3 linked regions of the Xenopus tropicalis genome follow. The protein of the gene in region 2 interacts with the protein of the main gene of each other region in a biochemical or structural test. Links are inferred from orthologs where the notes say so. Each region holds a gene or a part of one and is shown on either strand. Other genes may lie near its edges.

Evidence for each region.
Region 1: the proteins of cdc5l (region 2) and ctnnbl1 form a complex in vitro, tested with the Homo sapiens proteins (3 studies listed by BioGRID and IntAct, with this or other methods). The link is inferred for Xenopus tropicalis from reciprocal best matches to the Homo sapiens genes CDC5L and CTNNBL1.
Region 3: the proteins of cdc5l (region 2) and prpf19 form a complex in vitro, tested with the Homo sapiens proteins (2 studies listed by BioGRID, with this or other methods). The link is inferred for Xenopus tropicalis from reciprocal best matches to the Homo sapiens genes CDC5L and PRPF19.

Annotation. Positions count from the first base shown.
Region 1 is NC_030686.2:39,413,813-39,417,160, forward strand, and holds the end of ctnnbl1 (beta-catenin-like protein 1), read right to left. Parts: intron 2,924-3,348; coding exon 2,786-2,923; intron 1,755-2,785; coding exon 1,682-1,754; intron 1,098-1,681; coding exon 1,009-1,097; 3' UTR 543-1,008; downstream 1-542. UniProt on the Homo sapiens protein: Component of the PRP19-CDC5L complex that forms an integral part of the spliceosome and is required for activating pre-mRNA splicing.
Region 2 is NC_030681.2:148,154,876-148,158,534, reverse strand, and holds part of cdc5l (cell division cycle 5-like protein), read left to right. Parts: intron 1-1,894; coding exon 1,895-2,083; intron 2,084-3,531; coding exon 3,532-3,659.
Region 3 is NC_030683.2:60,615,655-60,619,313, forward strand, and holds part of prpf19 (pre-mRNA-processing factor 19), read right to left. Parts: intron 3,159-3,659; coding exon 3,083-3,158; intron 2,981-3,082; coding exon 2,871-2,980; intron 1-2,870. UniProt on the Homo sapiens protein: Ubiquitin-protein ligase which is a core component of several complexes mainly involved pre-mRNA splicing and DNA repair. Required for pre-mRNA splicing as component of the spliceosome.

The sequences.
Region 1 (3,348 bases), on a different chromosome or scaffold from region 2:
GGGAGCTCTTGTTTGTCGACTATATGATTCAGAACCATCAACCATGTTATGTGGGAGTCAAAAGGAGACCCCATTTAATACGGTCTATAGTTGTTAGTACGCAAAATGCAGCACCAAGTTATCATTTGGCAGCTTGTTAGGAAAGGAGGATTAAAGGGAGAAGATATACTTGCAGCTAAAAATCAGTAATTTACAGAAAAGTCCCAGTGACACAGGCATGACGTAGCCCTTAGAATCTCCCTAGAAACTGCATTTTCAGAGGTTATATGTCCCCTGTCCCCCCGTCCCCAGCGAGCAATTATCAGACGCCTGCCATAAGATCAATAGCCTCCAGTTCTGGGAATCTTTAGGAGCGCTCCTATCGGCTGACAATAGCCATTCTGATATATCGATTGCATCCTTGCCGAGTTTTATCCGAGCGCCAGAGGTGCAGCCTGTCTCAAGTGTCTGCTCGATGGCTGCCTCTGCCAGTTATTGATCCGAAAGCCAAACAGGATCTTTTAAACAGCAGCGTCTGGCATTTGAGTGGCAGGGAAACAAGCCAATGAGCCAGTGCTTTATTCTTTACACTCAAAAGCATGTCATACAGTATCGGAATACAGGCCGTAAATATGATCAGACATAAGGCTTCACTTACTGTGACAGGAGTGTTAACCTACTCACTGCCCTTTGGGCAAGGGCACAGTAAATAGCAGCTAAAGCCTTACGGCTACAGGGAGTGATTTCCCATGCATAACCCCTACCAGCCAAAGATGTGATTCAGCAATCTTTTTAAAACACAGAAGGAGATGCAAATTATTATTACTGTACTTTATATAAAAATACCAAACATGGACATTTGGATGGCATCACCTTGGACTCACGTCAAAAGACAAAAAAAAAATGTAGCAGATGGACAGAGGGTGGGTTGCAGGAAAAAATGGCAAATCCAAATGTTAAAAGTTCTATTTACATATAGATCCTTCGGGGCAAGGTATTTAGGGTGCATTTGTAGGAGGCCGGTAGGTGTTATAGCGTCTCCAGCAGCTCCTGAATTCTCTTTTGCTCACTTTCCCGGAACTCTTCGCTCTTCCCATCACCAATGCTCTCAGAGTATTCTACAGGGTAAAAATAAGCAGGGAAATTAGATATGGAGAAAAAAAAAAGTGACAGCCCTCCCGATAAGAAAAACTGGCAAAGTAATGGAACAGATGCAGAAGAAGTTTCCTAGAAGGTCCCATATATTCCTTGTTGTCCCCACATATTTCTTACAGTCCCCATGTATCCCTTACTGTCAGCTAAGCACAGTACACCCACTCCCTTCCCTGTACTTTCCTCTATTGCTACATAAAACTCCCCCATTGTTCCATATAACCCATAGCTATAATTCCCCCATTGTTCCCTTACCCCCTTCCTTATAACTCCTCCTACTGCCCCATATTACACGCCTATCCACACTCACACCAGCCCCCTTGGTGCCTCCATTTTCCTCTTCCCTATAACCCCACCCTCTCAGTTCCATATAAACTTTACAGCCTCTCACTCACGTATCATATAACGTATCATATAATCCCCTGGCCCTTTGTTCCATATATTATATAAATAACCCTTAAAATCTGACAGAGGAAGTAGTAATGTAAAATGGGGAAAAGACAGTCCAGTACAGCATATGGGGATGTGGATCTCTTGAGTTAAAACTTACCTTTTAGAATATGTCTCATGATTTTCACAGAGCTTCCCCTCATGTTTAGAATTTGCAGCACTCTCTGGCGAATCTGGAATTAAAAGCACAAGAAAATGTGAGTGAAAGAGACAAGAAAGGGAAAGGAAATCCCATAACGTGTTGATCAAAAAGTAAGAAGTGGAACTGCAAGCAAGGAGAGAAGGTAGGAAGCAGCCATGGGAGGAATGCAAACAAAGCCAATTTAGCATGGATTAGGCAACAGGGGATAATAATAATTAAGTACCGGCCCACAGAAGGGAAGAACATAGGCCAATATCTCTATTAGCAACAGTTACTATATCTTATTGCTTAAACAATTATTGTGCCGCTACCCAACGCCAAGCGTATGCATCCATCTCTTCCTTAGATGATAAAAATCATCACCCCTGCTTAATAAAGCAGGCTATTGCATTTCATATAAAGATGGTTACACCCCATAAAGGTTTGGGGACCACTGCTGGAAGGCCATTTGAGCACTGGCAAACTAAAACTGAGGGATGGTGAAATTCTGATGGTTTAAATATCTGTGTAATTTGTAGCTGGATGAGGAGGCATCACTGCAATACGAAACACGGTGCTCCCTCCTAAGTATCTTATTCTCACTGTTTTCCTAAGTTTATCCAATATTCCTAAACTAATGTCCTACCACAGATTGTTCAAAGGGTTTCTCACCTTTAAATTAACTTTTAGTATGATGTAGAGTGTGCTATTCTGAGGCAATTTGTAATTGGTCTTTATTTTTTATTGCCTGTTTAATTGTTTAGTTTTTTTGTTCAGCAGCTATCTTGCTGCTAGGGTCCAATTTAACCTAGCAACCAGGCAGTGGTTTGAAAGAGAGGCAGGGATAGAATTAGAGAAGGGACTAAACAGAAAGATATGTAACACTACCAATAACATTGTAGCCTCACAGAGCAATAGTTTTGTTGGCTGCTGGGGCCAGTGACCCCCATTTGAAAGCCGGAAAGGTATACAAAATAAAACATGAAGACCAACTGAAAAGTTGCTAAGAATAGGACATTCCATTCTGTACTAAAAGTTAACCTGAAGATGAACAAGAGCTGGTGGGTTGCAGGATGGGCATACCTGCGGCAGGTTGTTGTTACAGATCTCCGCTGTGACGTAACACAGGAGCTGAAGCAGGAAGAGGCCGGCATCCAATCTTCGCAAGTAAAACTCCTCCTCGACATCATCATCTAAAATCTCCCCTCGGCGCACCATATCCTGCCAGCACAACATACTCCATTAAGGACAGGTGGCAAAACAAGGGAAATGGAAGTAAAAATATTTAAAGGAGAACTGAACCCTAATAATGAATAAGGCTACAAATGCCAAATATTTTATATACTTATTGCACCAGTTTAAAGATTCAGCATCTCTAGTTGTAATGACCTTCAGTTGCCCCAGAAGCTCCCCATCTTGGTTTCTGCTAGGAGTGTCAGCGACACTGCACATGCTCAGTGGGCTCTGGGGTGGCTGCTGAGAAGCTTAGCTTGGGTTATCACAAATCAAGCAGAAAATGAGGTTTGCTTATAGGGCTATTACAGTCTGACGCAAATTGCACTGGTTTCAGAGCAGCCATGCAATGAAAATTACTAATCAGCCTTATATTGTCACATTTATATTCTATATATACAGTATATTGTGCT
Region 2 (3,659 bases):
CGAAAAAATAACTTTAAATAAAAGATAGCAACTGATTTGCATTTCATTGAGTGAAATAAGTTTTTGAACCACTACCAACCATTAAGAGTTCTGGCTCCCACAGAGTGGTTAGACACTTCTACTCAATTAGTCAACCTCATTAAGGACACCTGTCTTAACTAGTCACCTGTATAAAAGACACCTGTCCACAGAATCAATCACAAACTTGGTCATCAATTACAAGAAACGTTTGACCTCTGTGCTTGCAAACAAGGGTTTTTCCACTAAGTATTAAGTCTTTTTTTGTTAGAGGGTTCAAAAACTTATTTCACTCAATGAAATGCAAATCAGTTGCTATCTTTTATTTAAAGTTATTTTTTCGATTTTCCTTTTGATGTGCTATCTGCCACTGTTAAAATAAACCTACCATTGAAATGATACTGTTCTGAGACTTTTCATTTCTTTGTCATTGGACAAACTTACAAAATCAGTGAGGGGTCAAATAATTATTTCCTCCACTGTAGATAGTTTATGTAATCCTTCTCCATTGCCAGGACCTCACTCTTTTCTAACTTAATCCCTGCTTTAGTGATCAGACACCGTAAACATTTTAAAAAAATAGCCTTAAAACAGTTTCCTATAGGTAATATCCTAGTTACCAAGCTGGTTGATCAGTGCATTTAAGGGCGAAGACACACAGAGCTTCTAGTAGCAGCTACTAAAATAGACAATGCCGATCATTTACTGATAACTGTCTCAGTATTGTCTATGGCAGGGTATTTTCTGGGGTTTAGTAGCCATGAAAAAGTAGCAGCTACTAGTAGCTCTGTGTGTCTTCACCCTTATTGGACAGATATTAGCTGCTAATTTGGCCCTTGCAGAACAAGTTGGCAGTTTTTTGGCCATGCAGTGTTTAAACAGCCCGTCTGATAGCTAACTTAAAATTTACCAGATAGCTATCGGGACGTATTTGCATAGGCAGTAATTATAATCTGATGTTGGTCGGGGCCAAATGACCAGCAGACATTACATGCCTAGCTAGCTTTAGGTGACGTTTCAGTGCAAGTATATGGCAGCTTTGCAACTTTGGGAATTACTTAAAATCTCAAGGCTGGCAGTGGAATGCGGGATTGGTGGGTGGGGCACTTGGCATGCCAATTTTATGGCAAGTTTTACTTTTAGTTGTTTAAAAAGAAAATAAATGATACATCTTTCATTAACTGTGCAGAAACTCCTGATAAAACAAAGACTCCATAAACTGTTCCATATGTATTAGGGACATTATTCTTTGTTTTTTTAATGTAATGGAAATAGAGTTACATTTGGAAGTACTTAATTCCTGGGGTGCAGGTGATTCTTGGGAAATAATTGGGGCCAATGCAGCAGTCAGAAAAGCACTACCCATCCCAAAGGGGTTGTTCTTTGAGTTAACGTTTAGTATGATGTAGAGCGTAATATTCTGAGACAATTTGCAATTGGTCTTAATTTTTATTTGTAGTTTTTTAATGTTTTGAATTTCTGTTCAGCAGTTTTCCAGTTTGGGGTTTCAGCAGTTATCTGGTTGCCAGGGTGTAACTTACCTTAGCAACCAGGGAGGGTTTTGAATATGAGACTGATATATCAATAAGAGGGAACCTGAATAGTAAAAAAAGTAACAATAAATTGTAGCCTCACAGAGCACTAGTTCTCAGTAGTGGCTTCCGGGGTCAGTGACCCCCATTTAAAGCTGGAAAGTGTCAGAAGAAGGTGGCACATTATTCAAAAACTATCGACCAACTGCAAAGTTGCTTAGAATTGGCCAATCTATAGGGAATCTCTAAGGAATGTGTTGTGTGTAACCCACCTTGTGTTTTCAATGATAAATACGTGTGGCGAGAAACATGCCCCGGAATGACACTTTCTCCTGTTGCATTAGATTTCAGATGCTGAACTGGAAGAAGTGGTAAAGATCGGGCAAGCGAGTGAAATAGCTCGTCAGACGGCAGAGGAGTCGGGTATAACCAATTCCGCTTCCAGCACGTTACTGTCGGAATACAATGTCGCCAATAATAGTGTGGCCCTCAGGACGCCCAAGACACCAGCCGCGCAGGACCGCATACTGCAGGTACATGGGTGCTTCCACGCTGTGACGGGTGCAATGTTTCTAAATTATATTCAGTTCTGTTATTTTGTAGAATTTTTTTGTTCCTTGCCTTCTTTTTTTCTTTTTATTCTTCTGAACTCTTTTCCCTCCTTAAGATAAAACCACCTTTCTTCTGGTCTGAAGGGATGCACTTTTGTCCCATGGCTTTCACCAGGAGATAGTGTAATTTAATATACAGGTATGGGACCTGTTATCCTGAATGCTCGGGACCTGGGGTGTTCTGGATAAGGGATCTTTTCGTAATTTGGATCTCCATACCTTAAGTCTGCTAAAAAATCATTTAACCATTAAATAAACCCAATAGGGCTGTTCTGCCCCCAATAAGGGATAATTATATCTTAGTTGGGATCAAGTACAGGTACTGTTTTATTATTACAGAGAAAAGGGAATAATTTAACCATTAAACCCAATAGGGCTGTTCTGCCCCCAATAAGGGGTAATTATATCTTAGTTGGGATCAAGTACAGGTACTGTTTTATTATTACAGAGAAAAGGGAATCATTTAACCATTAAATAAACCCAATAGGGCTGTTCTGCCCCCAATAAGGGGTAATTATATCTTAGTTGGGATCAAGTACAGGTATTGTTGTATTATTACAGAGAAAAGGGAATCATTTAACCATGAAATAAACCCAATAGGGCTGTTCTGCCCCCAATAGGGGGTAATTATATCTTAGTTGGTATCAAGTACAGGTACTGTTTTATTATTACAGAGAAATTAAATATTTTTTAAAAATGTGAAATATTGTGAATGTGAATCTTTCTGGATAATGGGTTTCCGGATAATGGGTCCCATATTTGGTGTAAACCAGCACAATTGGCCAACCTTTGTTCAACAACTTGGACTTTACATACCCTATATTAACTTACTTTATCTTTTCTGGATTTTCTCTGTTTCACTAATGCCATTTTTTGATTACTGTGGACCAAAACTGTACTTCCAAGATATAATTCCCCTTTCCTGCTGTAAATCTATAGCCATTGCTAAAGTACTGCAAAGGTCCAGTCAGGCACACCCAGCCAGACCAGCATCCCCAGGGGAACTCACTCCCGCACTTTTGCTGGGTACCCAGACAGGTTGCCTGCAGGCTGTCCACACACACAGGAAATTGAGGACCTTCTGTCCAAAACACGACCAAACAGACAGAAAATTGAGGACCTTCTGTCCAAAACCCCACCAAACAGACAGGAAATTGAGGACCTTCTGTCCAAAACCCCACCAAACAGACAGGAAATTGGGGACTTTTTTTAAAAAATGGTCACATAAGTTTACAATGTGCGCACAGCGATAAAGGAATTAGAAGAAACTGACTGAAACTCATCTGCTACTAGTTCTGAGTTCTACAAAGCGTGCATTATAGCTCAAAGTGCCTTTCTCTGCACCCACCCCCTATTTTTGTACCTTACAGGAAGCGCAGAATCTGATGGCCCTCACCAATGTGGATACACCATTAAAGGGAGGTCTCAACACTCCTCTTCACGAAAGCGATTTTTCAGGAGTTACACCTCAAAGACAAGTGGTACAGACGCCCAACAC
Region 3 (3,659 bases), on a different chromosome or scaffold from region 2:
TATATATATATATATATATATATATATATACACACTAAGATATAAATAATCCTTATTGGATGGAAAATAATCCTATTGGGTTTAATTAATGGTTTATTGATTTTTTTAGTAGGCTTATGGTATGGAGACCTAAATTACGGAAAGACCCCTTATCCGGAATACCCTTGGTCCCGAGTATTCTGGATAACGGGTCCTATACCTGTATATATATATATATATATATATATATATATATATACCTATATATACCTATATATACCTATATATACCTATATATACCTATATATATATATATATATATATATATATACCTATATATATATATATATATATATATATATATATATATATATATATATATATATATATATATATATATATATATATATATATATAATCAGCTGTCTTATGGACAACCATAATTATGTAAAACGAAATTTTTAAAAAAAACTGTCCCATACAGCAAAATGTGTGTGAATAGTTAACTATGTACAAAATCTGTTAACTACAAAGGTAGCCTTACAGGTTCAAAATATGGATAAACACCAATAACATAATACACCCATGAATCACAGCTACAGATCAAGAAAAATATTAGGTCAGAGTAATAATATTATTGTTATTCTTTATATCAGTGCTGTCCAACTTCTGTGATACCGAGGGCCGGAATTTTTCCGACCTACGTGGTGGAGGGCCGATAATGGAAGCCAGTTTTGACCACTCCCCTTTTTGAAACCGCACCCACTTGAAACCATACCCATATTAATAGTTGTAGTACAGCAAAAACCTGCCATTCTCTGCCTTCCCTACTCTGCCTGTGTGTGCCATACTCTGCCTTCCCTACCCTGCCTGTGTGTGTGTGTGCCATACTCTGCCTGCCCTACCCTGCCTGAGTGTGCCATACTCTGCCTTCCCTACCCTGCCTGTGTGTGCCATACTCTGCCTGCCCTACCCTGCCTGAGTGCCTGTGTGTGCCATACTCTGCCTGCCCTACCCTGCCGGAGTGTGCCATACTCTGCCTTCCCTACCCTGCCTGCGTGTGCCATACTTTGACTGTGTGCGCCATTCTTGGCTGGTTTGTGCCATACTTGGCCTGTGTGTGCCATACTCTGCCTGCCCTACCCTGCCTGTGTGTGCCATACTCTGCCTGCCCTACCCTGCCTGTGTGTGCCATACTCTGCCTGCCCTATGCTGCCTGTGTGTGCCATACTCTGCCTGCCCTATGCTGCCTGTGTGTGCCATACTCTGCCTGTCCTATGCTGCCTGTGTGTGCCATACTCTGCTTGCCCTGGCACACACAGCCAGCATACAGTGACAATGCTGGCACTGCTCCTACAGTCTGTACAATAACTATATATTAAAAAACTTTTTAATTGCAGTACCACCTCAGTATATGTTCTTTTTGTAGTGTGCATGGGTTATTTGTGGGTTTCTACTGCTCCTACAGTCTTGTCTGAGGTGTGAACAGGGGAACAATGTGGGTGATTACAGTCTGAGCCTGAGGTGTGAACACTGCAGGGGGTGGACAATGCAGAGATTAAAAGGTGTGAACAACACAGGGGATTACATATTTAAACAATACAGCCTGATTACAGCCTGAATCTGAGGTGTGAGCAATGCAGGGGCCAGTTAATCACAGTACTGATACCATTTAAAGCTTACACAAGAGTAAGCCATCAAAGCAGCCAGACAGGTGGGGGGCCACACAGAGGGGGTTCGCGGGCCGCCAGTTGGACAGCACTGCTTTATATGATATATATTATTCATAAGCTAGTGATTTTCAAAGCCATCCAGAAAACAAACAAAATATGTAAGTAGACTGAATGCCTGTATTTGCTAACTAAGCCTAGAAACTCTACTCATTTGTGTAATTAAAAAAAGTTTTAAACCAATGACATCTCTTCAGAAAACTAATTTGACAAACCACTGAACAAAATCATCATCCCTCAATAAAAACATAAAGAATGTTAATTAAGTGGGTGGGGAGATTTAGGGACCTTTGAAGTGTTAACCAATCTGTCCCTGACAGCTTCAAATATTGAAAGGGATTCTGGTCATGAGTTTTATGGTGTATTTTTTATTTCTAAATTACACTGTTTACATAGCAAATAATTCACTCTACCATGTAAATAAATTATTTTTAAGCCAATAAATTGTTTTTTTAGTTATAATATTGATGTGTAGGTAGCCATCTCAGTGCAATGCTACACATTAGAACTGCTTTTAGATAACATAATGTTTCTCCTATTTCATGTAACTGGAGGAGGAGTCACAATGCAGACTTGGATTTTTTACCATGGAGTGCTACTCTGATTACTACAGGTGTCAACTAACTGCTATCTTGCTACCTGCCCATTGTTCTATCTGCTGCTGGGGGCAATATCACTCCAACAGTAAAGAGTGTCAAGTCACATGGCTGTGGCACCTCATGTAGAATTTGTTGGCATAATAAAATGGATATCAATGCAGGATTCTGCTGGAGAAGCTCTATTAATTGATGCGTTTTAGAAAAAAACAAAACAAATATGTATTGTCCCCAAAAGGAATGTTTTGTACCAGGCTGGACCTGAACTTATTAAAGTCTATTTTGCTCTAGTAGTTAAAGTGTTTTCTTCTTTTCCCCCAACAATGTGGATGTAGTTGTATAACCATGGACATTTTTATTGGGGGTCTGAATTAGGTGTTGGCAGAACAGTACATTTAGGACCACAAAGTAGACACACTAAATCAGGTACATTTTATTATAGTTAGCTCCAAAAAACTGCTGAAGCCACAGGAATGATTCAAGCTAAGTTGAACCTCTGGGACAAGTAAAGCAATCAATAGAAGGAAAGTTTCATGTATGTCTTAAATTTGCCAAAAATGCATACCTGAGATGGGTGGAAAACAACACTGGTAACTTTCTTGGTATGACCTTTAAGAGTAGCAAGGATCTGTTGCGATAGTGCATCAAACACAACAACACTTTTGTCTGCCCCACCTACAAGACAAAAAGAAAAAGAGCAAAAACAAGAATAAATATTGCTCTCTGTGTTTCCACTAAAGACATTAATGACAAGCAGAAAGTGGGTAAAATCCTTACCAGTAAGAGTTTTGTTTGTGTCAGTTGGACACAAATCCAATGCCAAAATACCAGGGACACTTGCACTGTGCAGACCCTAAATAGATACACAGTGGTAATTAGAGGCATTTTTTACAGAATAATACAAAATTGAGTTTGTATATGGCCTCATGTTAAAAGGGATTTCTTTACTTACCATAAAATCCTTTTCACTCTAGTCCTATGGGGGACACAGGAACCATGGGGTTAACCCTTTAAGTGCCAGCAGAATTTGACATTTCAGTTCCCCTCAGTGCCAGACGTTTTGTAAACTTTCTGTGCTCTCTCAATTTAGGGGCTTTTACTGGGGGCAGGGTTAAGTTTAGGTAGGCAAACTATATATAGTTTTTTTCAGGAGAACCTGAGCTTTCCTAATCTACCTGAGTTTTTGTGTATTTCCACTTCAGGAACAAGATTTAGAGCTTGAAATACAAAAAAAAAAAAAAGAAAAAATGCTATTTTTCATGATAGAAGGATTTCTACCAGAAACATGTTTTATTTTATGGACAAAAATTCAACTGATTTGGAAAGCCTCATGTCTCCCGAACGTGCCAATACC